Mus musculus: one gene and its partners. The protein of the gene in region 1 purifies or fractionates together with the protein of each later gene. This does not show direct contact. Links are inferred from orthologs where the notes say so. Each region holds a gene or a part of one and is shown in the gene's direction. Other genes may lie near its edges. The genes, in order: Hdac2, Appl1, Bcl11b, Sinhcaf, Pml, Zmynd8 and Rreb1.

Region 1 (3,817 bases):
GGACTGAACCTGCGGCCTCTGGAAGAGCAGCCAGTACTGCCAACTGTTGAGCCATCTCCAGCCCTCCCTCCCTCCCTCCATGTTGAGTTGTGTTGTTTGTTTGTTTGAGATAGGGTTCCTCTGTGTAGCCATGGGTCTCCTAGAATTTTCTCTGTAGACCAGGCTGACCTCAGACTCAAGAGACCCACCTGCCTGTACCTCCTGATGGCTGTGATGAAAGGTGTATGTCACTAAGCCCAACAATTCTGAAATTGTGTAATGTAGCCCTTGGCATACCCTTTAGGTGTGAGTACATAGATAATGTCTGCCCGTTTTTAAAGTGTAAAGACAAGGGTAGACCTCAGAGTACAGTACTCGATTGTCTTGGTAGCCCGAGGAGACGTGACGTGCTGGGGTCTGGATGCTGAGACTGCGGGGGAAGAAGGGTGAGCATTCGCTGTAAGATGAAGGACCTGCTTCCACATTCCGGCTTGCGCTTTCCTTTCAGGTATCATCAGAGAGTCTTATATATTGACATAGACATCCACCATGGTGATGGTGTTGAGGAAGCTTTTTATACAACAGATCGCGTGATGACCGTCTCATTCCATAAATATGGGGAATACTTTCCTGGAACAGGAGACTTGAGGGTAAGACTGAGTTCTGTCAGAATAAATATAAGAAGAGCATAGGAGGTTGCTAATTTCTGGAAGAGCCATGTTGTCTTAGTCATTTTGTTTGTGTATTTGTGATGGGACCTCGGCATCTGGTGTGTATGGTTTTTTTTGTTTGTTTCCGGAGATGTGGCCTCACCTTAGTTGAGCAGTTGTTGGGATCATTGCTTACTGTTAGGATTTGTCACATGTGGACCCACTGAATGCTGCTTGTTGTTCAGCTGTGATTACTTTGAATATGTAGAAACGAGGGATCAGAAGTGGTCTCAACTCAGTTAGGTGTAAGTGCTGATCCTAAAAAGTTTGCTGTCCTCTCCAGGTTGCATAGGTTGTCTTGGGTAGCAGGGGTGGGGTCACAATGGGAATGGACAGTGTTCTATAGGTGTGGGGTACAGATTATCACACTGTCTTGTGGTAGGTTGGGAGAGGTCAGGCAGTGTCTTTATCTGAGATCACAGGCATAGAGTCCCAGGGTGTCTTATTAGGTGGTGTTGAAGACTGATTTTGGGCTCCCTACCTGGGGTTGTGTTCTCAGGACTCCATGTTGCCCCAGAGTGGCGCAGTGGATGTAGAAGCTCTGAGGATCCCTCCCTACCTATGGGTCTGGGTCACAGGGCTCCTCACTTTGAGAATGGTGGATAAGTGGGCTCTACTTTTACATCTTGTAAAATTGTTTCATGCCTCAAACTGAGGTTTGTAAGAACTTTTTAGTTTATTTTGTGTGGTGGGGAGGAGCACATGTGTGCCCTGTTACATGTGCAGGAGTCCTCCTGCCATGGGTGGATCCTGGGGATCAAACCGTGGGGATCTCACTTGTTGGGCTTTATCTACCCAGGTATTTCGCCAGCCCAAACTACAGTGCTTGTGTGTTATCTAAAAACTGCCTTAGAGCTTAAAACGTACTTCTACAACCTAGAATACCCAAGACACAATTTACAAAACTCATGAAACTCAAGAAGAAGGAAGACCAAAGTGTGGACACTTTGTTCCTTCTTAGAAGGGGGAATAAAATACCCACGGAAAGAGTTTCAGAGACAAAATTCAGAGCAAAGACTGAAGGCATGGCCATCCAGAGACTGCCCCACCTGGGGATCCATTCCATAAACAACCACCATACCCAGACATTATTACATATACCAACAAGATTTTGCTGACAGGACCCTGATATAGCTGTCTCCTGTGAGGCTATGCCAGTCCCTGGCAAATACAGAAGTGGATGCTCACAGTCATCTATAGGATGGAACACAGGGCCCCCAATGGAGGAGCTAGAGAAAGCACCCAAGGAGCTGAAGGGGTCTGCAACTCTATAGGAGGAACAACAATATGAACTAACCAGTACCCCCAGAGCTCGTGTCTCTAGCTGCATATGTAGCAGAAGAAGGCCTAGTCGGCCATCACTGGGAGGAGAGGCCCTTGGTCTTGGGAAGATTATATGCCCCAGTACAGGGGAATGCCAGTGACAGGAAGCAGGAAATGGGAGTGGGTGGGTAGGGAAGCAGAGGGAGGGGGGAGGATATAAGGAATTTTTGGAGAGGAAACTAGGAAAGGGGATAGCATTTGAAATGTAAATGAAGAAAACATTTAATTTTTTCAGAATTGTGTGTTACTTGGTCTTTTAATCATTTTAAAATATGTCAGACTTTTTGTTATGAAATAGTCTTCTAAGATCTACTTTTGTGTTTTAGGATATTGGTGCTGGAAAGGGAAAATACTATGCTGTCAATTTTCCCATGAGAGATGGTATAGATGATGAATCATATGGACAAATTTTTAAGCCTGTAAGTACTGCTTTCAGAAATAAAATGGGAGTTGTAAATATCCTTAGATACTAATGTGTCTTATTCTGTGGCTAGATCATCTCAAAAGTGATGGAGATGTACCAGCCTAGCGCGGTGGTGCTGCAGTGTGGCGCAGACTCCCTGTCTGGGGACAGGCTTGGTTGTTTCAATCTAACTGTCAAAGGTAAGCAGTTCACGTTCCCCCTGGTGTGGTGTTTCTCCTCCCCAAGAACTTCCCATAAAAGTTTTCATTGCTGAGGGCTGGAGAGATGGTTAAGAACACATGTTCCTTTTGTAGAAGACTTGGGTTGGATCCCAGCTCCTACATGTTGGCTCAAAATCTAGCACTCTCTTCTGATTTGCATGCATGTGGTACGCACCATACATGTTTAAAAACATATTTTTAATTTCTCATTGTTACCTTTTGCTTGCCAACTCGATGCCAAACTCTATATTTGAATTTTTAGTGGATTTTTATTTGTTGTTGTTGTTTGTTTTTGTTATGTGGCTGACTAGTTAATTTAGTTCCCCAAGTCTTACATGTTATCATATTTATGTTTATGTATTTATCCATGAGTAGTTTGTTGCCATGTCAGCGCCAGCAGTTTTTAATCAGTTTTTTCAGAAGACCTGTACCTTGTTGTCTGATTCAGTTGCTGTTACAGAGTATGAGGATTTAGCTTGGCGCACTTTATTCTATCATGGTTACTCTCTTCCTTACCCAACCCTAAGAACTTCGGTCGCTGTGGCTAGTGCTCAGCAGCAGTGGTTTTTAGCTTAGCAGTCTTCTCTACTGGCAAGACTCACTTTTTTTTCTTCTGGATTTTTTTGTTTGCTTAGTTTCCATATTCCTTATTACTAAACTATGAATTTCTAATGTATTCTGCTCAGCTATCTCAGGTGCTCTGTCACTGAGCTCCTCCTGTTCGGACTTAGTGTCCTCATGGGTTTAATGGGACAGAGAGCTCTCTGCTTCTGCTTTATTATGTCTCCTGATCAGTGGGCACTGTATCTAACTTGCTGGTGGAACACATAAGTGTCTTCATGAGGAAAGAAGCCCAAGTGTAAATGTGTAAGGTGGTGTTGAAATTCTCAAGTCCTTACGAAGAGCCGAAGTCCACATGCTGAATACAAGTCTCATATTGCTGTTATGGGATGAACTTCGAGGGTTTCAGAATGAAGCAAAGTTGCATGTGGCAGCGCATGCTTTTAGACTCAGCATTAGAACAGCAGAGATGGGTCCAGGCCAGCTAAGGCTTTATATATAGTAAAACCTTGTCTCATAAAGAAAAAGATAAATAAAATAAATCTTTTTAATAAAGTTAATGTTTGGATTAGAAATGACTTAGCATGCACATTGCATGTTTTACTTTAGACTTTCTGTGT
Region 2 (3,817 bases), on another chromosome or scaffold:
GACATAGTGCTGGAGAAAGCTCAGAGTTCTACATCTGGATTGTCAAGCAGCAGGAAGAAAAAATGAGCCACTGGACCTGGCTTGAGCTTCTGACACGTCTATACCCCTACTTCCTCCAACAAGGCCATACCTCCAACAGTGCCGCTCTAAGCCTGCAGGGGCCATGTTCATTCAAACCCCCCAAAACCATGTCACTGAGACCTTAATTTTCTTATAATTTGAACACTGAAGTGTTAGGGTTATTTCTAAATTTATTTTTTAGGTTTTATTCTTCATAGGAAAACCCAAAATCATTCAGTATATTCTTTTGGGAAACAACTGTAGGATTGAAAAATACATAAATACTGAAGCAGTATTTATATGTTTTATATACATATGCATGTATTGTGAGTTAAGGCCAACCTGTGCTGCAAAAATAGAAAAGTACATCTCTCATAATGTACCATGTTGTGTTACAGACTCTATTCTTCATCAGTTATTTATTGTCCGATTCCTTGGTTCTATGGAGGTAAAGTCAGATGACCATCCAGATGTTGTCTATGAAACAATGCGCCAGATCTTAGCTGCTCGGGCCATCCACAACATCTTTCGTATGACAGAATCACATTTATTAGTCACTTGTGACTGCTTGAAGTAAGTAGCAACCCTCTCTAAAAAACTTAAGTAATTTTTTAGTTTTGCCTAATTAAAAAGTTTTTCAAAATTTTAATTATAGGTTAATTGATCCGCAGACCCAAGTTACAAGGCTCACAGTGAGTTCTATATGATTAAAGCTTTAAGAATCATTTGTTCATATATACATTTTATAGTTTGATGATAACCTGGTCCTATGTATCCTGGTACGACAGTATCAATAAGATTGTTCCTTAGGTTGTAGTTATATATGCAGCCAGCTCCAGAAAGTTACTGAGCACTTGTAAAGAGTCAACGTGTTTTGATGATAGTTTTTAATCCCTAGAGAGTTTATGCACCAAAGGAATTAGCAGAAGTAATCAAAACATGAACATAATTGTGTTTATTTTATAATTCTATATTTTTTTGTGGGTACAATTGTATGACTTAATCATTTTTGAGTAGGTTATTTTTTTGTAGCTAAACATATATTGGTGAATATGTTGAAAAATAACTCCGTATTTAATAACCTTTTTTTGGAATATTCCAAATATGGCATTATTTGTACCTAGATTATTTTTCTATTGAAAATGTGTCTTTAAAATTCTTACCTGTGATATTTTAGAATTTATCATGAGAGTTTATCATCTGAATGTTGCTGTACTGATTTGGGAGATCTCATATTTATGGTATTTCTGTGGCAGTTTCCATTGCCGTGTGTAGTTCTGTATGCTACGCACCAGGAAAATAAACGACTTTTTGGATTTGTTCTCCGGACATCAGGCGGAAGAAGTGAGAGTAATTTGTCATCAGTCTGCTATATATTTGAATCAAACAATGAGGGAGAAAAGGTACCTGCCTTTCAAAATGTTCATTTTATAAAGTACTCATCAGAGTCCATTTTCACCTTAAATTTCTGGGAAAAGCTCTCCGATTACGCCTAGTCCAGTTGAGCTGCTTGATGAGAGCGTGCTTCTCTGGGGAGAGCTGGCTGATGGTGCAGCCTGTCAGGTTCTGTGGATTATTGATAGCTGGTTCAGTCTTGAATCATTAACTTACCTTCGGGATGGAGTATATTCCTACAGTCATTTTTAGGTGTCAGTAATTCATACCAGTATCATTACCTAACTCCTTCATTCTCTGCATGACTTACTATTTCAGTAATGATGTTTTTTAAGTTTTTGTGGTTTTGCTAACTTCATAAATGAATACTGTATTAGCATCATTTCCTCTCCTCTCTTCCTTCCCAACTCCTCCTATGTCTGTCCTTCAAGTTCATAACTTTATTATTATTGATGTGTGTGTGTGTAAAACTTACCTGGTCCATTTAGTGTTGTTCTTATGTTCATATGTTTAGGTCTGACCATTAGCATTGGATAACCTATTGAGGCTCGTCTCTGGACATAACAGTCTTTTTCCTGTAGCTCTTCTTCATCCATGGGTTGGGCCTTGTGAGATTTCCATTGGCATGTCAGTTATCAATTTTTAGGTCTTGTTTTGGCAATCATATTGTTGAAATTTCGTAGCTACAGCGTTCTTATGTCTAGAAGACACTGTCTACAGCAGGTGTTCTGGTACAACCTTTTCAACTCTTTCTCTTTTCTTAAAACCACTCACAAATCTTTATTCACTAATGGGGTTATACTTTCCCTTTTCCCAGCTGTTCCTTCCATTGAGGGTTCTAATGAGCTTAGTATCCTCTGTCAGAGGAAGGTCCTGGTGGCTAGGTACCTAGTTTGTAGAAGGACCTTGTCCTCTGGGGGTTGATGGTCTTTGTTGTCAGGAACAAAGTGGGGAGGGACACTGGCCATCAGCACTCAGACCTCCATGATGTTCCCAGTTGGAGATGTAGGGTAATAGGGACTGGGTGAATCCCCACCCCGCCCCAGCCTCAGCAGCCTTGAGGGCCTCAGGATTAAGGCTTCCAGGATAACACCAGAGAAGCAACTCTGGGAAAGGCTCCTGAGTGGTGGTAGGGCTTGAGGGAAAGTCATGGGGGTGAGGGAGATTGCAGTAGGGAGGGGTGATCATTATGTAGGCTGACTTGGGAGATGTGGGTGGCTATGTTAAGTGCACTTAGGCATTGCTTGTGCAAGCGTTCCCTGGGGTCCAGGCTCAGAGTCACCCAAGTCTTAGCCTGTGGGTTATTATGTTGCAGGACCATTATGGTTTGGGGGTCCTGCAGAAAGAGGGTCAACTCTCTTATATGATTTTTCCTTAGCCTTAAATGTGTAGGGATTGTGCTGTAGATACATCAGTTGTATCACTTGGGCCTGGGCATGCTACAGTTACTTGTCTGCATTTTGACCAGTAGCTTTATGGTGATCTGATATAACGAGAAGTAGCATGGACACATGGTGGAAAGAAAAGCCAGCAGTACAAGGTCATCAATTCTGAAGGAACACGCTGAGATTCTTTGGGGTTGAAATAATTAAATTAATTCTTATTTGAAGAAGTATATTATATTATTATGAAACTAGTTCTGTCATCCATTTGGGTATTTGAAATTTTTAGTGTAGTATAAAACTCTCTAGTTTAATATAAAGGTTTTACTTTTTTTTTCCTTTTAGATTTGTGATTCTGTTGGACTGGCAAAACAGATAGCTTTGCATGCTGAACTGGTAAGAATCAGAGCCACTTAATTTCCAAGGCTGTCTAAGCTAAAGCAGTGTAATAAAAGCTCTTTCATACTAGCAGTAAATAAAGTTATATGCTAAACAAGATCAATGGTAGGTGCTGTTTCTTGTATAGCATTGGGAATCTGGAGCCAGGCCTAGCACTTGAGAGGCAGAAACAGGTGGATCTCTGAGTTCAAGGCCAGCCTGGTCTACAGAGTGAGTTCCAGGACAGCCAGAGATACACAGAGAAACCCTGTCTCTAAAAAAGCAAAGAAGTCCCAACCAAATAAAAAAGAAAAGACTCTGGACTAGTGTGTGTTGTAGAATGAAAACTATTTGTATGCCTAATGTAAATGTACTGAAAAGTTACAAAGCTCATATTAATAGAAATAATGTAAAATTTAAAGTTACTTCCTATTTAACATATCTGTTTTATTTACCCTTCCCCTTTTTAGGATCGTAGGGCATCAGAAAAACAAAAAGAAATAGAGAGAGTAAAAGAGAAACAGCAGAAAGAGCTCAGCAAACAGAAACAGATTGAGAAGGTATGTAGTCCTTTACGTGGAATTGATGAGGACTGATTGAGC
Region 3 (3,817 bases), on another chromosome or scaffold:
TCCGGTCCCTGGGGGGATGTGGGGAGCCACAGAGGCTGGCAGTCGAGGGGCTCGTCTCTCAGTGGGAAAGGGTGGAAGGAACCAGTCTGTGATGACCTAAGCCCATCTCTTGTCTTCTCTGCCCCTTCCCTGTCTCCTTTCTGTCTCCAGCAGAGGCTGACCATGTGGAGGCTACCATCCTCGAGGAAGACGAGGGTCTGGAGATAGAGGAGCCTAGCAGCCTGGGGCTGATGGTGGGAGGCCCCGACCCTGATCTACTCACCTGTGGCCAGTGTCAGATGAACTTCCCGCTGGGGGACATCCTGGTTTTTATAGAGCACAAGAAGAAACAGTGTGGAGGCCTGGGCCCCTGCTACGACAAGGTCCTGGACAAGAGCAGTCCACCTCCCTCCTCTCGCTCTGAGCTCAGGAGAGTATCTGAGCCAGTGGAGATCGGGATCCAGGTCACCCCTGATGAAGATGACCACCTACTGTCACCCACGAAAGGCATCTGTCCCAAGCAGGAGAACATTGCAGGTATGACGTTTGCTTACCTGGTGGCTGCTGAAGCTGCCTCCCTAGCTGCTCCAACTCCCTGACTTTTAAGCACTGATTCTCAGGAGGTCCAGGGCTTTTCAAAATGGCCTCTGGGTCACCATCTGGGGCTTCCCTTTTCTGAGGGCCCACCTTCCAGGTGACTCTCCGGGGAAGACAAGGTGAAGAAGACCTGACTGTTGTGTGTTGGCTACTTTGCTTTTGGTGAGAAAATGCTGACTTGTGCTTAATCCAGAAGTGGCCTGGAGCACGAGATGGAATTTTGGAGGTTGGCTTGGCCCTCTCTTCGTTGGTGATATTGGCTCAGCCCCTGGCTTTGGAGCCAGGCTCGGTTTGGACTCTGTCATTTCCAACCTGGAAACGGTGGCTTCCTCATCTCTAAGATGGAGTCCAGAAGGACCCACCCCCACCCCCTTTGTGTCGATTGTTGAAGAACGCAGGTGATTCTGAGTGTGGTAGTACCTGCTAGGCCCTTATGCATGGCACTTGTCTACACTCTTCTCTTCGGACTCAGTTTCCCCTGTTGTGAAAAAAAGGGGGTAGGCCCTCTTTTCATGAGCCTGCTTCCCATTTTGCCTGACCCTCAGGTTTTGGGAATCTGTCTGATTTCGACTTCATCTTGCCTTTTGACTTTGGGCTGGATATCTTGAGAATTAGAGCCCTATTTTCCTCTTTTGTGAACGGGGAATGAATAATCCTAGCAGGCCTTGTGTGATGATGGAGGAAGGGGGGCTCTGGAAGAGCTTTGGCAGGAGAACTCTCGTGGGGGTGTCCCTCTGGCTGTGCAGCAGCCAGATGGAAAACTGTGGAGCCAGTCCTGGAGGAGTTTGGGTCCTGAAGCCCCAGGACATGGGGGTTAGGGGAGAGGGGCATTGTATCCTCTTGGAAGGTGATACAAAGCATGGGCCAGGACCTCATGTCACCTAGAGGCGCTCAGAGTCACTGTAAGCCCAGCTCCACCACACACCTCAGTTGCTTACACTTGAGCTCCAGTTTATCCACCTGTATACTGGGAGAAACTGGACAGTCTGATACCCCCACAGGCATAAGATGGGCAGTGGGGAGAATCTGTGGACCAGCTTGGCCTTGGCTTGGCTTTCTGGTGGGTGTCCTGGCAGCGTAATCAGGCCTGGGGCAGACAGGCATGGCTGCACACCACCTCCACCATTAAGGCAAAAAGGGTGTCTCGTCCCTTGTCTGTGTTGCCAGGCATACCACTTGGGATAGATTTCAAGAGTGTGGGGACGCCTGCCCGGCGTCTGCAGTGCACAGCAGCCTTTGAGGGGTGGCTGGTCCCTACTTCACTTTCATCTGCTGACCCAGCCTCAAAATCCTCATTTTATGTTGAAGGTCTTTCCCAAAGAGAGCCTGCGGATCACCGTGGGGAAGTTTGCCTAAGAAAGCAACTAAATGTGATTTTTCAAAAGGCGCTTAATCTCCCCACAGCTTCGTCCTTATCCTTCCATTCCCTCTGCCCCCCACCCCCACCCCGTTTCCTCCCCTCGTACTGTTAATGGCCCACAGTATTTTTATTTTATGCGTGACGGGAGATAGCCTTGGTCCGTCTGCTCGGAGTCGGGGCAAGAGGAGCGAGGGAGGAGTGGATTTGTTCGTTCTAGAAGAAAATATGTAAAATAAGCCTTTGGAAGTCTAAAGAGCTATGTTTGTTCAAAGCATTTAAAATGTTATTCTAATCAAAGGCACAAAGCACTTTGCATGCCGTGTCAGCTGCATCTGGCCATTCCTCTTCTTTCAACCCATCCCACCCTTCCTTTCTACCCCAGGGTCTCCTGGTCCTTCCTCACTTGGGTACCAACTTTTCTTCTTCTTCTTCTTCTTCTTTTTCCCCATTTAACAGAAAGAAAAGATTAAAGAATAAAACATCAGTGGCTCAAATGTATAAAGTAATTTAATATGGTGAGAGCATTAATTATTTTAGCTTAATTGAATTCCGAGGACCCCGCAGTCCTTGCAGCTTGGTAGACAAGGCCTGTTTATTATTTCTGTAGATTAACAGTAAAGGAAACACAGATAACTTTCAGTTATTTATTGTAAAATAAATGTGTCAATTCATGTGTAAAGCAAGCTGCTCAAAGATAATTGAGTCTTTATATTTTAAGAGGGGAGCTAGGAATCACGGGCCCTTCTCCACTCAGGCACCCGGAAATCCTTCCAGCTGCTGTCCAGGCCCCTGGCACACTGGTCTCCATGGGTCCCCTGCTCCTGTCTCCCGCCTGTGGCTTCAGGGTCCCTTCCCTGCTGCTCTGTGCCCTGCTGCTGTCTCCACTGGCCTTGATGGTCCCTGGCAGCCGCTGGTGAGCAGGTGGCTGCTGATTCTTGGGACTTTGCTCCTAGCTGGCCATCATGGCTGAGTCCTTGGTGGGGTGGCTATGCTACTGGAATGTTCTGAGGTCTGCAGCCTTCACTTTGGTGGGGCAGCCTTTCCCCTCAGCCTGACACTTGTAGAAGCAGGGCCCCAGCGATGGGTAGAGATGTTGTTCTGTAGGTGAGAGTCCCCCTGTCCTTAACTGTGTCTCCAGGGTGGGAGTGGAGCTGGGGTTTGGCTAGTCATCTAACCAAAGTGTGGTTGACCCAGTCCCTACCCTTTCCTTGGCAAGGTCTTTCTGGAGATAGCTATAGTTTGTGATCTTTTTGCTGTTTTAAATGACAGAGCAGTGGTTCTCGGCTTTCCTAATGCTGCCACCTTTGAATATAGTTCCTCATCTTGTGGTGACCCCAACCATAAAATTATCTTTTGGTCCTACTTCATAGCTGTAATTATCTGCGAATATGTAAATATCTTAGGCAATCCCTGTGAGAAGGTTGCTTGGCCTCCAAGGGGGTTGCAACCCACAAGTTGAGAAGCTCTGTGGGAGGATTAGAAAGGTACAGAAAAGATTCCATAAAGCTTGGGTCCTAGAGGACATTCATTCATTCATCCATTCATTCATTCACTGAACACCTATGCTGTTCCCCTTAGGAGGGTGTCCCTCAGGGAGTATGTGAGGAAATTCCAGCCCTATCTTTCATGTTGCTACTTGGCTTGGAATCTTCTTGCTGCTCCCCTGCTATGGAAGAGGAGGTCCCGGATGCCTGGTTTCCAGGGCAGCCTAGGGATGGGGGTGATCATAAGCAAAGTCTGTGGCTGGAGATCTGACCCAAGGGATGCCTGTGATGACACCACTCATGGAGGTGCTGTGTGTCCCTCATGACTCCTTCTTGTGGCCTCTCCCTGCCTCTGTTAAGAACTCTGCTCAGGCACTAGGTCCGTGTACCTACGGTG
Region 4 (4,534 bases), on another chromosome or scaffold:
CCCCAAACTCCTTTTAGGTCAAATGCAAAAACTGTAAGGTATTTTAACTTGCAATAAACCAATAGGAAAATTTAAAAATTCAAGTATATTTTATAAGCAGTTACTAAGAATCCATCATGTGGTGAGCATTGTTTTAGGTGCCTGAATACAAACATAAGGGAAAAATCTTTGCCTTTAAGAGTTGTATTTTAGTGACAGTTGTCAGGTTTATTTATTTTACTCCTTTACAGGAAGAGTGTTACAGAACTTTAAAAAAAAAAAACGTTGAGGTCTTCACAAGTAGGTTTAAACTGTGTTTTAGGAATTGGCTATTGAATTAAAGTAGCATTTCAGAAATATTTGTTTGAATCTGCATACAGCAAAAGCAGTGAATCTTGTCTTTTTTTTTTTTGTTTGTTTTTATAGTTGGTTTCCATACTTTGCAGCAAAGGACCAGTATCAAGTTTTGGTGAAAAAACATTCTCTTTCCTACCTATCCTCCCAGGATCACTGAACCAGGTGTTATGGGTCGCTGGGCTTAAGGAGTATCACAATTATATTTTCATTTCTTACTTTTTCATCTGAAAAGTTACTTAAGCGTCTTCCTCCTTTTTCCTCCCTCCTCATTGTCTGGAACCTCCCTATTCTTTGTTTTCTCTAGATTACTCCCTTTCTTCTACAATCACCTCCCTTTTAGGTTTTCTTTAGAAACATTTTGATGTTCGATTATCGTATATTCCACAAGGAATAGTGTGTATTTTGCTTCCACTTTCTCCCCTCACAAGTGGTTTTTCTGGGCAGAGGAGCTCTTCACGGCTGGAGGATTTGTGTGTTTTCAGAAAGTGGCACCATTCCCACGGTAATTACCACCATGAAATTCGCAGAGGCTTGAAAACTTCAGTTCAAGTGAGCAAAGCAAAACCACTCAGTTATGGGTTGGGTCATGTTTGAGAGGGACAAGACGGAATTACTGAATGGACCATTTCAAAATGCGACTTTATTAAACAATTTATCATCAAAGCCCCAAAGAACGAAAACTCTGTTGGAGAATTGAAATTTTAATTTGTGTGTGCATGTGGTGCGCGGGGCGAATTTGCAGAAGTTGGTTATTGCCTTCAGGTGATCAGACTTGAAAGTACCAGTTGAGCAGTCTCACAAGCCAGGCAGGCCCTGAAAGACAAAATGTAAAGCTCACCTTCAAACAGAGTTTAGGAAAGGCAGGAACAAGTACAAACTGAGTGGTTCCACGACAACTTTCTCTGCCACCTCAAGCCAGAAACTGGGCATAGGTGCGCGAATGCTGCAAAAGCAGCTTCCAGAACTTTCCAAGCTCAGTAGCTTCCTAAGGGGTGCCATTCGGTGAGGACAACGCTCACCTTTACACCTTTCGCGTCCTGCCACGCCCCCGCGTCGCCTCCTTTTCCCCCGGGGGCTGGGGAGGGCGTTTGTTTACGTGACGTTGCGGAGTAGGCAGGACCCGCCCCCGTCCCCGCGGGCCGCCGCGTTTCCCGCGCCTCGCCGCTTCTCCCCTTAAAAGGACAATAGAGGCCGCGGGAACGCGCGCGGACGCCCTGCCCTCTCCCCGCCCAGCCCGCGGCGCGCACGCGCCCGTATGCAAATCAGCTCGATTCAAGAGAATTTGGTCCCGGGAGCCGCGCCTGCGCAGAGGGAAAGCGGAATCTATACCTCCGTTCGCGGTAGCAACTGAAGAACTGCTGGAGACAATCTTTCTGGACTCGGCGCTGGCGGAGGGAGTGCTTGCAGGAGGTTGGCCTGGTGCAGTTTGCACCGTGGGGACGCTGCTGCGCGTGGAAGGTGAGTGATTCTAGTCCGGACATCGGTGCAAAACTGTCTCCGAGGTTTTGTTTTCTGTGATTTTTTTTTTTTCTTTCCTCCCTTTACCTCCCCCGCCTCCTCCGTCCTTCCCATACACAAACACACAGGAAGTTTTGTCTTGGAGATGGCATTGCGGGGAGCGCTGCCCTCGTGCTCTCCGGACTCCAGATTCTTTTGTACAGAGGCGTTGGAGATGCGCTTCTTAATTGAGGAGGATATTTGAGGTAAACCGAAAGTCAGGGTGTGGGGAAAGTGAGTGCAGCGTGGAAACGAACGAGCTGCGGCGGACTTGCATCCACGCTGAAAGTGACAATGACTTTTCTAGGTCGTAGTGTTTCCTGCAGACCCGGAGAGCAGGGTCGGGGTCGCAGATCCCGTGTGGGCTCTGCTCTGGCCAGGGGCTTGGGCTCCGCGTGCACCCGCGTGTTGCGCTACCCCGGCGCTCGCGACGGTGTTTGCACGCGGGTGAACAACAAAGCCGGAGCTCGGAAACTAACTTGCCAGTTCCTGGAGCCGGCGGCCACACAGGCTGAAGGCAGCTGGTGAGGGCCAGCGCCGGGATGGCGCGACGCACGCGGCGTGGCGTTGTTGGAGAAGTCCGCAGGGACGCGGCTGCGACAATGAGCGCGCAGCACGCGGTCTTTGCACTCGGCCGGTGCCGAGTGGTCTCTGCAGCCCAAAGTTCGCTGTCCGTCTGGTCACCTGTAGCGTGGGTGCGGGCGACACGGGAGGGGTGGCCGTGGCCCGCGGCACCAAACAGTGCGGATGAAGGCGGCGGCGCGGTCCGCTGCTTGAGGCACCCAACTCTTTTTTTTTTTTTTTTTTTCCCTTTTTGTTGTGTGTGCTTCACCTGACAAGCCACGTGCTTAGGGCCGCGACCGTGCTACATCTCAGTGTCCAGCTCGGAGTGAGCCGCGGGCTGCGGTCGCCGTCGGGGCTGTCGGGAGCAGGACAATGTGATTTCCTGGTGATGGCGTCTTGCCAGTTTCCAAAGCACAGCGAAAGTCGCCAACTCGCAGCATATGCACGGCGGCGGGGACCTCTGGGCGTTTCTCATCCGGGACTCCGCAAAAGTTTGGCCCCAGGGACCAGTGGCTCAGGATACCCGAGCTCGCGTGGGTCCCCGGGCGCGGGTCCGGGTCGCCCCGACGTCGCCGATGCCGCCGGACAACAAAGGGCCGCGTGTGCCCGAGCGGCGCGGGCCGGGCGGGGCGCGGGGCGGCTTTTGTCCCTTAGGTCCTCTCGGAAACTTCAGCGGCGGCTCAGCGAGGCTGTGTCCGTGGGGGCGCCTCGGCCTGCGGGTCACCCATGCGGAGCGACGGAGCGCTGCTCGGCGGGACGCACGCGTGGCCGGGGCTCCGAGGCACGGGAGGCCGCGTCTGGGAGGTCCGTGCATCCGCCTTTGAAGTGGAACTGTTGCCATGTTTGAATTACGTCAGGCCGAGCGTGCGGAGCGGCCCGGGAGCAGAGGCGCGGCCTTCGGGCGGCGCCGGCGGGGCGCGGGCCGTTGTTCCAGCGCAGGTGAGGGCGGCGGATGGCGCGTGGTGCCCGGGGACCCCGGAGCGCTGGGCTCCCTCCAGGAGTGGAGCTCCGCGCCCTACCCAGGACCTCCGACTACACGCGGGGAAGTTTCGGGGCGCCGGCTCTTGCCCCTCTTGGAAGTGGAGACTGAGGAACTGGGGGTGCGTGCAGCCTTTGTGTGTTTACACGTGGGGCGACCGGCGAGGCGCAGGGCAGGTTGGGTTGGGCGGCTTTTAAGACGGAGCAGTTCTGGTAACCAGCACCCCAGTCCGCCTCTTGTTATTTTTCTTCTCACCTTTCCTTATTGCAGGTGAAGAATGACTACGAGCCAGACGTGCACCGTGTCCCCCCTCCCCCTCCATGTTAGGAGTTCGTTTCAAGTAGGCTCTTGGTCTTCTCTTAATGCTTTCTAAAGAAGGATCCGGCAACTTTTTTAGTGAGAGGTGGACGTAAAACTTGTTTCTAGCAGTGTCCGGAAAACATCTGCTTTTGAACTGAAGTTTGTCAGACTTGAAAATCATTTTAATGGTTTTTGTGCTGCAAAACTGAACGCGAAAGTCTGGGGTTCGTTTTTTGAGTCCCCGCAAAGCATAAATGCATTTAAAGTATTCTGAGGATGTTTTGTGTTTTGACCTTAAAGTATGCAGGACTCAGATAAATCTTAGATAACCTTGAGAACTGCTGCATCTGGGGAGTAGGGCCTTTCCGAGATAAAGGATGCTGGGAGAAGTTGCCAGTGTAGGGAGCCCTTGCTAGTTTCACAATTCCTGGGAACTGGGACTGACCTTCTACTTACCCTCTTACACTTTTTTCAAGCTAACTTTTTGGTATGTGGCTCCAGGCATAGCTCAAAAATTATGCTCGTTTGACACATGGATGCTTCTTTGGTATTTGGGGTTTGCTTGCAGTCTAGACATCCAGCCCAGCAACACCATATCTGTTGCGACTTTCACAATTAATCCTGTGTTTCAGTTAGCTTGTTTTCATCTAGATGTGGCCTTGACTGGGAAATAATAATTTTTGAAGTGAATAGAGAGTGTGTCAAGAAAATTAAAAACCTTGGATATTACAACCTTGGCTTTCCTTTGGGTGACTCCAGGGACATGTGAAAATAACATGAGGTACTTTGCAAACATTGTTTTGTTTTTAAGTAGACTACTTACTGCAAGACTTCAGCTTCCTAGGAAAGTCTATACAC
Region 5 (3,817 bases), on another chromosome or scaffold:
CACATAATTCTTGGACTTAACACTAAGAGTCAGAGCTCAACCCCACAGATTCCAGGGCCATCATATACCTAATAAACTAGTTGCTTAGGGTTGGAAAACACCCTTAGATAATCTCATGCTGGCATTACTTCTGCCGTATCCTTAGCTCAGCAGCTTTCATATCCAGGCCGTTGGGAACAGGAAGTGCATTGGTTCCTGTTTTGATTGCTCTGACTGAGCACTTCTCAGAGGAGAAACACACGGGTATCCTTTTCATTCTCCTTCATCCACGCTCATAGGCATGGCTCCCCTGCAACAGGATAAGCTCTCTCAGTTCCTTTCTGTGCCTGGCATCTTTCCCTCCCCAGCTTGGTCACTCTGTTACGTGTGACTGCATGTCAAGATGTGGGCCCAGAACCAGGCAGATCTTCTGGTGGGGAGCAAGGGTATTAAACCTTTTCTAGCTTTGCCTTGGGGCAAGCCATGGAAAAGAGATTGCTGTGGGTTACAGCAGTGGGGAAAGGCTTCATGGGGGAGGCAGGACTTTTGAGAATTTTAGAGCTACAAGAGAGCGTGGAGTGTAAAGCCTCTTGCAGGGATGTAGTTAAGACCCAGAGAGACTCAGATGTGAGGAAGTTTAACTTGGGCAGGGTCTTTTTCCATAAAAGTTCCTCGTTTTTACTGTGGTCGTCACCTGGGGGCTGAAGCTAGGACTCGGGAAAGACGTGGGTAGCAGTGTGTGGGAGCAAAGGTCCTGTGAGGCTAAACTATAGCTGCATAGCCAGTGCTGACAGGAGAGGCAGCTCAGGCTGACACAGCACTGCCCCATCCCCCACCTTAATGTCTCCTGCTTCTTCAACGCTAGTGAGAGTTGTATTGAGGAAACAGAAGTAGAGGCACCCAGCCTTGCCTGCAGGGATTTCCTGGCCTAAGTAGAACAAGAGCCTTTTATACGCCAGCAACTGCAGAGCCATAAAGGCAAAGATAAAATGGTGAAAATTCCTGCTCCTGCTCTGAGGATTGAATATATGGGGCTTGGAACATGGCAGGCAGGTGCCTAACCACTGGGCTTCCTGCCCAGCCCCATGCATAGTTTGCAGTTGAATATCTACCTTCAGTGCTTTTGAGGTAGTACCTAGGAGTGTAGAGTTGGTAAGCCATGTGGTGATTCTTCCATTAAAAGAGATTTATTTACTTATTTTATGTATATGAATGTTTTGCTTGCATGTGAGTGTACCATATGTGTACAGTACCTGCAGAAAGGTCAGCTGTCGTGTGGGTTCTGGGAACTGAACAACTGAACCCGGCTGCTTTGCAAGAGCAGCCATCTCTCTCTCTCTCTCTCTCTTTTTAAAGATCTATTTATTTATTTATTATATGTAAGTACACTGTAGCTGTCTTCAGACACACCAGAAGAGGGCGTCAGATCTCATTACGGATGGTTGTGAACCACCATGTGGTTGCTGGGATTTGAACTCAGGACCTTTGGAAGAGCAGTCAGTGCTCTTACCCACTGAGCCATCTCGCCAGCCCAGAGCTGCCATCTCTTGAGCTCCCTTTTCACTATTTGAGGAGTTGTTCCTGCTTCATTTAGCAGGACCCTGAACACCAACTCGGACATGGAATAGTAATCAAACTAGTATTATATTCATTAGCCATCCTTGTCACCCTCACTACTGGGTACTAGATACTCTTCAAGACATTTTGATGGCGTTCAGCAAGTGTCATTATTCCATTTTATGGAGGGAGACTGAGACCCAGTGAGTTTTAAGTAATTCCAATGCATGCAGTAGCTACTAGAGTTTAAGACTCGGGTAAGGCAAGCTCCCAGGAGGCTGGCCTCCAAGTTCCCGACTGCTGCAACTCTGTTGCTGCTGAGGGAAGTGTTGCTTTCAGCAGCAAGCAACCTGTCTGTAGAGGCAGGCAAGCTAGGCTGGTTGTCAAGCATATTCTGAGGATAGGCACCATGGTCCCGGAGGTGTCGTCCTGCCCTGTCAGGACACACACAGATTGAAGCAGTGCCTGGGTGCCAGCAGCCCAAGGTCAGAGGAGGTGACATCATGGAGACTTTTGGGAGAAATTACTTGTCCCAGTGAGCTCTTTGATTGGGACCAAGCTTACACCTGAGGCAGGTTGTAGGCCCAGGGTCATTGCATTTCTAACTTTTCTGTTACCTGCTTTTACAGCCCAAAGAAGTGCAGAGTGTACAGGCTCAGGCCCTAGAGCTGTCTAAGACCCAACCTGTGGCTATGGTAAAAACAGTGCCTGGAGCACACCCTGTACCAGTGTATGCCTTTTCAATGCAAGGCCCCACCTACAGAGAGGTAAGCCCCCACTATTCAGCACTGCCTCAATCTAAAAGGCTTAGACTCCAGCCAACAGTGAGGTGTAATTGGAGAATCTGGGCTTTCTCAGGCCTATATTTGCTCCGTATTCTCCATTGCTCTCAGATGCTCCCCATGGAAGCTCGAAATAATCTTAAGCCACTCTCAGCCCAGCTGGGATGCTGAGACAGCCAAAGCTATGAGATCAACCGAGACTGTTGGTCAGTGGCCATGACCAGTGCACATGGCGACCTGAGAGAGCCTCCTGTTTGCAGAGATATGCTCAGCATGGCCAAAAGAAGGAGAGTGAAAACATGCCACAAACCCCCTGTCACTCAGCTCAGTGTCTCAGCCCAGCACCACTAGAGGCACCCCAGTCACCCCTCTAACTTCCCACTCTTCAGGAGGCTTCTCAGACAGTCGGCTCCATGAAGAGGAAGTGCTCCCACGAAGATTGCTCCAGGAAGATCATCAAGATGGAGTCCACAGAGGAGAACGAGGACAGGTTGGCCACAAGCTCCCCCGAGCAGTCCTGGCCCAGCACTTTCAAGGCCACCTCCCCTCCCCATCTGGATGGGACTTCCAACCCTGAGAGCACCGTCCCTGAAAAAAAGATCCTCCTGCCCAACAACAATCATGTTACCAGTGACACAGGGGAAACAGGTAGGAGGATTAGGCAGGGAACACCTGTGTAAGACTGTCATGCCCTCAGATATCTGGAACACCCCAGGCCCCACCTCCACATTCTAATCCCACCTGGGCACTCAGAGCCATCAGGACTCCCATGCCCGAGCTGCTCTGAGCAGCCATTGAATATGGCACTGGTGGTTTACCCTGTGCTTGCTATGATTTCAGTGTGGGACACTGGAGGGGCTATGCCTTAGCCCTGCCTCCTTCCCTCCGAAAACTGCTAGTGCCAATCTCTGTGCTCTGGGGACATAAACACTCCATCTCCTCCTAGCACACACAGGACAGGGTATCTGTCATCCCCAGCCCATTGGACAAGGATTCTCCTGGATGTCTCACCCTAGCCAGTGGCCATTCCAGGAAGGATTTAATGCTGCCACCCCCTCTCCTTTTCAGAGGAGCGAGTTGTGGTGATCAGCAGCTCAGAGGATTCGGACACCGAGAATCTGGTGAGTAACACGGACTTCAGCCTAGGACTTCTGCCTCCCCTTGTTCAAGGTCCCAAAGGCCACAGCCACAGCAGGTGACTCTCAGGCTCACCTGGCACCTGGAAAATTTCCCAGCCAGGCAATAAAACCTAAGTCATACCAAGGACAGTCTGCAGGCACTAGCTGCATGCTTATTGCGTTCTGACCCTCTTTCTGCATCAGGCAAGAACACCTCTACAATGCTTGCTAGGCTGCTTTCTCCAGGCCATGTCCATCCTCTGTAATATCTTCTAGATCTGGAAGCGTCTCTAGAGTTTCTCTAGAGCTTCCTTGTGTACTTTCTATCTGCTAAGTACTCATGAGGAAAGGTAGACAAGAGTTCATTCCCTGGTTAATCAG
Region 6 (3,817 bases), on another chromosome or scaffold:
TGAGCATTTGTGGCTTGCCAAGTATGGGGCTGCTTTTATGTCCCCGCGTGTCCTTCTATGTTCACCTTCCTCCCTGTGATGTGGCGCCGTGTCCAACGACCCTGTTTGTGGTTTACACAAGTTTTTAAAGGCCCCAGTCACCTGTAAGCACATCCAGTCGAGTGGCCTACATGAAGGAACAGCTAGCCATGGGTGTCGGCCCCTGGGGTTGTGTGCAATTTCAGCTGTGATGGATTCTAAGGCTACCTGTGCTCTCTTCAGTTAGCAAGAGGTGTGACAAGCAGCCTGCCTATACCCCAACCACTACAGACCACCAGCCGCACCCCAACTACCCAGCCCAGAAGTGTAAGTATGACCCTGTCTCAGGGGAGCTGCTGGGAGAGTCACTCCTGGCATGCAGAAGCCATGTTTTGTGTGTCTGTGTGTGTCCGTGTGGGCGTGTCCTGTGCTTTGAGTGTTGGTCTCCCTCTGCTTTGCCGTCGCCGTCGTCTTCTTGTTTGTTCCCCATTGCTGCCTTTGCAAACTGCTGTAGGTTGGGCCATTCAGAGCCTTTGTTTTGTCTTAGCTGGGTACTGCATCTCCCCTGCCGTGGTCTGCCATGTTAGCCAGCATCCTGGGCCCAGTCCTTTAGAGGCTCAGGCTTTGGAATCTCAAGTTCTGTTTCTTTCATATCCCCACTGATCTTGGCTCTTCCCCACAGCTGGAAGGACTTGGTGATGTGCGACTATATCCATGCCACCCCTCAAAGACCTTCTAGAAGATTATATAGCCTAACTGCCAGGAATGTGAGCTCTCAAAGGACCATTTGGAACTCTGATTGTCCTTTTAGAACACTGCCCCCTTCTGGCTGAATATAAAAGCAGCCTGAACTTTTAAATTTTTATTTTATTTTATTTTATTTTATTTTATTTTATTTTATTTTATTTTATTTTTTTGCATGTGCTTTGTGAACAGGCAGTAAGAAGTAAGAAAGACAGTCCCCCAAGGGCAGCAGTGGTCCCTTCTCACTAGCCCTGCTCCATCTTAAGCTTGATGCTCCACAGCTCAGGAAAGTTAGAGAATCTGGGAGCAGCAAAGGGGTCTTAGTGGCCAGCCATTAAGTGTAGGGCCTTAGTGTAGGGCCATTGTCCTCTTCTGTGATAGCGTCTGTGGCTCTTCTGTTAGCTTCCTCTTTGCTTCCTCAGCCACTACCTAACTTGCTGCCCGTGTGACCTCAAAGCCATCCCAGGTGTCCGTTGGGGTCTGTATCCGTCACTGACCCCTAACATGGTCCTTACTGGGAGTCCACGGAGTCAGTGTCCAGGTGGGCTTAGCCATCTCATCTGGTCCTCATTTCTTCTCTTACAATATCTTCCTGGTTTGGATATGAGTCTTATAAATGAATCAGGAGTTCTGTGAGGTCACCACAGATGTCAGATTCTGCGGGTCTTTCTCTAAGAGCCGAGGTCAGAGGCAAGGTGCATGGGCCCCCCGTGGTATAGTCCAGACTCTTAACAGGGCAGGGGTTCCCCGTCGACTGGACACCATCACTCGCTAACCTCACTCTCTGCTAGTGTGACACCTTTTGACCTTTCAGTTAGCTATAGCCCAAAGCCAGCTGCCCTCACTCTGTGTTCTACAGCCACAGCCCTGGGATCTCAGGGGCAGCTGTGGGCGTGGTCCGGTTGGAGTGGGCGTGGTCTGGCTGGAGGGAGGGAAGGTAACTTCCAGCTGGGAGATGAGTTGAGGAAGGTGGGGAGGGGAGTTGAACACACTGCCTTTCCTTCACAGACCATTCCCGGAGCAGCAAGGCAGGTTTGTGGAGCAGCAGCGAGGAGAAGCGAGCGTCATCCCGCTCTGAGCACAGTGGAGGGACCAGCACGAAGAACCTCATGCCCAAAGAGTCCCGGGAGTCTCGGCTAGATGCCTTCTGGGACTAGGGGTGCATTGTGAGCCAGAACACCTCCCTATAGGCGGGAGAAACAGCCCAAACCACAGGAAGCAACAGAAACTGGAGAACCGCCACCTTTAGAATTTCCAACACTCAGGCTCTGCCCGTCGGCTTGGCTGCAGGACAGAGACTTGACTCCATCCCAGCTCTGGTCTTGGCTGGGATGGCACTACCCTGTGAGCCAAACACTTTAGGTGTAAGTAGGTACACTTGTGACGTCACTGACCTAGCGTACCTTTCCTTTTCATATCTACACTGACCTTAACTTATAAAAAAAACAGAAAAGAAAAGCAAGTTTTATATATATACATATATATATAAAGATCTACAATTAAAAGAATGTTTTGATAATCCAGGGGCTGGTTAGTGAGCCCGCTGGCCTCACTGGGGTGTCAGGGCTGGGCCCAGGGATTGCTATTTTCACGTAGGCCCTTGTCCTTGGATACCCAGGGGAGGGAGCCACTGTCGCCGCAGCACACCAGGATTGGGGCTCTCAGGCTGTGCTGCCCTAGACCCGCCACACCAAGCCATCCGCCCCTCACAGACCCTACAAGACGATGTTAGGAAACACATGCTTGCTGGCCTTGAAGGACACAGAGAGAAGTATGTGTGTGTGGTGTGTTTCCAGCTCTGGCTCCCGAAGGGGCAAAGCAGCCTCCTGTTTACAGAAGGTCCACGCGAGCTATCCCCGTGGCGTTACGAATGCAGCCAGCGCCCGGCGTTTGTGCAGGGGTGTCGGGAACGAACGCAGCCAGCGGGCATCTGTGCGTGCGAGGAGACCCCTTCTCTCGGCCAAGTTTTTTCCCATAACACCCACATGGATTTGTGAAGACGTGCTTCTCAGAAGCAAGGACTCAAAAAGCAAAGGTGCACGGCGAGGCCACGAAGCCCACGCCAGCCCGGGGATGGAGCATGTATGTATTATTTATCTGCTGGAGTTCTACGTTTTTATGTAAGCATGAAACACAGGCAGTGTGAGAGAAAGCCAGGACCCGACATGCTGTCCGTTAACGCTACGTCTGCTGTAGTTCCATTTTGTATGTTGTGTAAAGCGAGCATCGATCGAAGCAAAAGGTGATGTGTGTATATCAGAAAAAAGAAATTAACTGTATATCATTCCAGTACATTCCGTTGTACATTTTAGTCTCCGTTTACTTTCTCTTCATTGTTGATAAGAGAATGCCAAGCTGCGCGTTGTTCAGGCAGTTTACCCCTACTAGAGAAGAAAGGAAGAAACGCTAGAAGAAAACAGGAGAGAGAGAAAATTTGTGAATTGCGGTCGTCAAAACAAAACAAAACAAACAAAAAAAAACAATCTAGCCTAGCTGGCCTTATTTGGGAAGCGTAACTGCTTTTAGCATATGGGAGTATTTTTTCACATTTTCTTTGTATAAAATTTGTATTAAACTTAAATATCTTTTTTGATGATGGCGTTTCTTCATGGCTGAACAGCGTCCTCTCGCGGTTATGAGCTTTTGGGTTCTCCCCCCTTTGACATCCCAAGTTTTTCAGGTTCTTAACCCTTTTTAAAAAAAAACTAAACCGTTTTGGCAAAAGGGTTTGGTCATGCCAATCTCCCGTGGGTCAGGGTGTGGCTGTGTCAGGTTTGAATGGCCACAAGAGACAGGTCTCCTGAGGTCCCGGGCACCCTCCCGGGACGTGGGCTGGACTGGGACTTTCTTACCTCCCATGGTAGCTGCAGTCTTCTGAGGCCAGGCTTCATGAGCGCTTCACCTGTGCTAATGCCACCTGAAGTGACTGGTACATCGATCTTTGGCTCTAGGTCAGAAAGTTCATCTTCAAAGGCTGAAGTTTCCCGTGGCCTTCTGGGTAGAGATGCCCATATCTCTGGTCTGGGGCTCAGGCCTGCATAGGTGGTACCCGTGT
Region 7 (3,817 bases), on another chromosome or scaffold:
TGGTCACACCCCGGACAGTGGTAGCCGCCTCCACGCCCCCACCTCTCATCAACGCCCAGCAGGCATCTCCCGGTTGTATCAGCCCCAGCCTTCCTCCACAGTCCCTGAAGTTCCTCAAGGGGTCGGTGGAGGCAGTGTCCAATGTTCATCTGCTTCAGTCCAAGTCTGGGATCCAGCCAAGCACCACCACACAGCTCTTCCTGCAGCAAGCTGGAGTGGAGTTGCCGGGCCAGCCCGAGATGAAGACACAGCTGGAACAAGAGAGTATCATTGAGGCCCTGCTGCCCCTCAACATGGAGGCGAAGATCAAGCAGGAGATAACAGAAGGTGACCTCAAGGCCATCATGACAGGCCCCAGTGGCAAGAAGACCCCCGCCATGCGCAAGGTGCTCTACCCCTGCCGCTTTTGCAACCAGGTGTTTGCTTTCTCTGGAGTCCTGCGAGCCCACGTTCGCTCCCACCTGGGCATCTCACCCTACCAATGCAACATCTGTGACTATATTGCTGCAGACAAAGCCGCCCTGATCCGTCACATCCGCACACACAGCGGGGAACGGCCTTACATCTGCAAGATCTGCCACTACCCATTCACGGTCAAAGCCAACTGTGAGCGGCACCTGCGCAAGAAGCACCTCAAGGCCACCAGGAAGGACATTGAGAAGAACATAGAGTACGTGAGCAGCCCCACCGCAGAGCTGGTGGACGCCTTCTGCGCCCCAGAGACCGTGTGCAGACTGTGCGGGGAGGATCTGAAGCACTACCGAGCTCTACGCATCCACATGCGCACACACTGCAGCCGGGGCCTGGGCGGCTGCCACAAAGGCCGGAAACCCTTCGAGTGCAAGGAATGCAACGCTCCCTTCGTGGCCAAGCGCAACTGCATCCATCACATCCTCAAGCAGCACCTGCACGTGCCCGAGAAGGACATCGAGAGCTACGTGCTTGCCACCAACAGTGGCCTCGGCCCCGCGGACACGCCCACGGATGCCGCTTCCAGAGGAGAAGAGGGCAGCTGTGTCACTTTCGCGGAGTGCAAGCCCCTCGCCACTTTCCTGGAGCCCCAAAATGGCTTTCTTCACTCGAGCCCCACCCAGCCCCTGCCTTCCCACATCTCTGTCAAGCTGGAGCCAGCCAGCAGCTTTGCCATGGACTTCAACGAACCCCTTGACTTTTCGCAGAAAGGCCTGGCACTGGTCCAAGTGAAGCAGGAAAATGTTTCCTCCTTGCTGACGTCTTCCTCCTCCTCTGCCCTCTATGACTGCTCCATGGAGCCCATTGACCTGTCCATCCCCAAGAGCGTCAAGAAAGGAGACAAGGACACAGTTGTTCCCAGTGACGCCAAGAAACCGGAACCGGAAGCTGGGCAAGCCGAGCCGCTCTCACCCCGCCCACCACCCTGCCCTACCTTGTCAGTGACTGTGGAGCCCAAGGGGAGCCTGGAAACCCCCACAGGCACGGTGGTGGCCGTCACCACAGCTGCCAAGCTAGAGCCCCACACTCAGCCCCTCCAGGGCTCCGTGCAGCTGGCTGTCCCCATCTACTCCCCCGCGCTCGTCAGCAATACTCCCCTCTTGGGCAATTCTGCTGCCCTCTTGAACAACCCAGCCTTGCTTCGGCCCTTACGGCCAAAGCCCCCCCTCCTCTTGCCAAAGCCCTCGATGACAGAGGAGCTGCCGCCACTGGCCTCCATCGCCCAGATCATTTCTTCCGTGTCCTCGGCCCCTACTCTGCTGAAAACGAAGGTAGCTGACCCTGGACCATCGATCACCAGCAGTAACACTGTGGCCACAGACAGCCCAGGAAGCTCCATCCCCAAAGCTGCCGCCACCCCCACTGACACCACAAGCTCTAAAGAATCCAGTGAGCCACCCCCTGCAGCCAGCAGCCCTGAGGAAGCCTTGCCTACTGAACAAGGGCCGGCTGCCACTTCCTCGTCGAGGAAGAGGGGCAGGAAAAGGGGACTGAGAAACCGGCCCCTCCCCAACAGCAGTGCTGTGGACCTGGACTCCAGTGGGGAGTTTGCTAGCATCGAGAAGATGCTGGCCACCACAGATACCAACAAGTTCAGTCCCTTTCTGCAGACTGCAGAGGATGACACTCAGGAAGAGGTGGCTGGAGCCCCTGCCGACCAGCATGGGCCCGCTGATGAGGAGCAAGGTAGCCCCGCAGAAGACAGGCTGCTGAGAGCAAAGCGGAACTCCTATGCCAACTGCCTGCAAAAGATCAACTGTCCCCACTGTCCCCGGGTCTTCCCTTGGGCCAGCTCCCTGCAGCGGCACATGCTTACACACACTGGTAAGAAGGCCCTCACGGCTCACCAGGCGGTGAGTCTTGAAAGGAAAGAGTAATGGGTAGGGATAGGAGTAGGCCTAAAGTTTGGGGCCTTTGTCTCATGCTCCATTCTTTGTCTCAGAAGTCACAGGCTGTTACTTTCCATATAATCTGTGCCTGTGGTCTGAGCCACCAAGGCTTATCTGTAAATAAATGTATCAGACACAGTGACAGTGGTCATAGGCTCCTTCACTTCCCTCCCCATAACCTTTGCCTGACAAGTTCCAAGAGTTTCTAAGTATGGAGGCCATTCCGGAGAAGTGGGACTTTGCATTAAGGTAACAGTGATGTAATGAGCTTGGTGCTTTGACATGATAATCTTCAGTGCCGTCTTTTTTTTTTTTTTTTGAACATTCTATGGAGTTCTTTAGCTACCACACATGTAATACAGAAAAGTGGGATTGGATATTTTTTCCCCTTCACTGAGGTAGCTCCAGCGTCCCTTACTTATTTTGACTTTTTTTCCTATTTGGAATACTTAGATGATTGATAGTAGTAATTTTTCTAAAGTTCTATTTATCCTAAAATTGTCAACTGTTGAGGAAAACATTCTGCGTATCATTTGAATGTTTTAATTAACAAAGCTAGATTACCAAAACAACATCCCGGAAATAGTTTTCAGATGTCAGTTTCTAGAAGTTGAAGTGTAGAACAGAGACTTATCTATTAAATTACTTTATGCCTAGTGCTTCTAATATTTCAATAGCCATCTAGAAAGGTATAATTATAATTTTCTGAATAGTATCACAGGATTTGTATCATCGATCGATTGGGCGATTGTTGTACATTCAGTGAAGTCCTTACCCTTTTGGAGTTTACAGTTTAAAATATGGATCACTGGCAAGATTTGACTTTTCAGACCAACAAGTATTTTGTAGTATTTGGGACAGACGGAAACATTACTTATTGATCAGAATGATGCTCAAATTTTACTGCAGATCTTTTTGCAGTAGATCTTGCTAGAAACACTCCAGGAAGGAATGCTGTGATTTCCACCCACCCACCCCCGCCCACTGAAGATTTGTGTAGATAGGCCATCTCTCAGCAAACTGACAGGCTTCCTGGGAGCCAAAGTGTCCATTTCTTTTCCATTTGTGATGGCATCTGCAGATACCAGAGACGTGTCCCCTCTTTCCCTGGGGTTTGATCACTGTTGGTGTAGGAGCATCTGAACCTGTTCGGTCCCCAGGGCCCACAGAGTAGAAAAAAGAGCCAACTCCTACAAGTTGTTCTCTTGCTTCTACACGCAAGCCATGGCACAAGTGTGCTTACGTGTGCACGCACACACAAACAGAGAGAGAGAGAGAGAGAGAGAGAGAGAGAGAGAGAGAGAGAGAGAGAGCGCAGCCAACAGCATTGAGCAAAACCCAATTTCAACTGTAGTTAAGCAAACTGCCTCCATCATGAGAGAGGGTCTCTTTCCATCCTCTCAGCTACTTTGTTGAATTATCCCAGCATCTGTACTTGGTCTCAACCCATTTCTCCA

The links.
Region 2: the proteins of Hdac2 (region 1) and Appl1 purify together in Homo sapiens (co-immunoprecipitation; 3 studies listed by BioGRID and IntAct, with this or other methods). This does not show direct contact. The link is inferred for Mus musculus from reciprocal best matches to the Homo sapiens genes HDAC2 and APPL1.
Region 3: the proteins of Hdac2 (region 1) and Bcl11b purify together in Homo sapiens (affinity purification with mass spectrometry; 4 studies listed by BioGRID and IntAct, with this or other methods). This does not show direct contact. The link is inferred for Mus musculus from reciprocal best matches to the Homo sapiens genes HDAC2 and BCL11B.
Region 4: the proteins of Hdac2 (region 1) and Sinhcaf purify together in Homo sapiens (affinity purification with mass spectrometry; 3 studies listed by BioGRID and IntAct, counting the BioPlex papers as one, with this or other methods). This does not show direct contact. The link is inferred for Mus musculus from reciprocal best matches to the Homo sapiens genes HDAC2 and SINHCAF.
Region 5: the proteins of Hdac2 (region 1) and Pml purify together in Homo sapiens (affinity purification with western blotting; 3 studies listed by BioGRID). This does not show direct contact. The link is inferred for Mus musculus from reciprocal best matches to the Homo sapiens genes HDAC2 and PML.
Region 6: the proteins of Hdac2 (region 1) and Zmynd8 purify together in Homo sapiens (affinity purification with mass spectrometry; 4 studies listed by BioGRID and IntAct, with this or other methods). This does not show direct contact. The link is inferred for Mus musculus from reciprocal best matches to the Homo sapiens genes HDAC2 and ZMYND8.
Region 7: the proteins of Hdac2 (region 1) and Rreb1 purify together in Homo sapiens (affinity purification with mass spectrometry; 4 studies listed by BioGRID and IntAct, with this or other methods). This does not show direct contact. The link is inferred for Mus musculus from reciprocal best matches to the Homo sapiens genes HDAC2 and RREB1.

The regions. Positions count from the first base shown.
Region 1 is NC_000076.6:36,991,270-36,995,086, forward strand, and holds part of Hdac2 (histone deacetylase 2), read left to right. Parts: intron 1-487; coding exon 488-629; intron 630-2,338; coding exon 2,339-2,431; intron 2,432-2,506; coding exon 2,507-2,615; intron 2,616-3,817. UniProt on the Homo sapiens protein: Histone deacetylase that catalyzes the deacetylation of lysine residues on the N-terminal part of the core histones (H2A, H2B, H3 and H4).
Region 2 is NC_000080.6:26,925,375-26,929,191, reverse strand, and holds part of Appl1 (DCC-interacting protein 13-alpha), read left to right. Parts: intron 1-458; coding exon 459-633; intron 634-715; coding exon 716-752; intron 753-1,316; coding exon 1,317-1,463; intron 1,464-2,338; exon of another isoform or gene 2,339-3,182; coding exon 3,183-3,233; exon of another isoform or gene 3,234-3,555; intron 3,556-3,685; coding exon 3,686-3,775; intron 3,776-3,817. UniProt on the Homo sapiens protein: Multifunctional adapter protein that binds to various membrane receptors, nuclear factors and signaling proteins to regulate many processes, such as cell proliferation, immune response, endosomal trafficking and cell metabolism.
Region 3 is NC_000078.6:107,986,164-107,989,980, reverse strand, and holds part of Bcl11b (B-cell lymphoma/leukemia 11B), read left to right. Parts: intron 1-150; coding exon 151-516; intron 517-3,817. UniProt on the Homo sapiens protein: Key regulator of both differentiation and survival of T-lymphocytes during thymocyte development in mammals.
Region 4 is NC_000072.6:148,943,552-148,948,085, reverse strand, and holds the start of Sinhcaf (SIN3-HDAC complex-associated factor), read left to right. Parts: upstream 1-1,615; 5' UTR 1,616-1,794; exon of another isoform or gene 1,795-3,497; intron 3,498-4,534. UniProt on the Homo sapiens protein: Subunit of the Sin3 deacetylase complex (Sin3/HDAC), this subunit is important for the repression of genes encoding components of the TGF-beta signaling pathway.
Region 5 is NC_000075.6:58,228,977-58,232,793, reverse strand, and holds part of Pml (protein PML), read left to right. Parts: intron 1-2,165; coding exon 2,166-2,303; intron 2,304-2,707; coding exon 2,708-2,966; intron 2,967-3,386; coding exon 3,387-3,439; intron 3,440-3,817.
Region 6 is NC_000068.7:165,783,692-165,787,508, reverse strand, and holds the end of Zmynd8 (protein kinase C-binding protein 1), read left to right. Parts: intron 1-261; coding exon 262-345; intron 346-1,770; coding exon 1,771-1,919; 3' UTR 1,920-3,357; downstream 3,358-3,817. UniProt on the Homo sapiens protein: Chromatin reader that recognizes dual histone modifications such as histone H3.1 dimethylated at 'Lys-36' and histone H4 acetylated at 'Lys-16' (H3.1K36me2-H4K16ac) and histone H3 methylated at 'Lys-4' and histone H4 acetylated at 'Lys-14' (H3K4me1-H3K14ac).
Region 7 is NC_000079.6:37,930,195-37,934,011, forward strand, and holds part of Rreb1 (ras-responsive element-binding protein 1), read left to right. Parts: coding exon 1-2,295; coding exon of another isoform or gene 2,296-2,348; exon of another isoform or gene 2,349-3,817.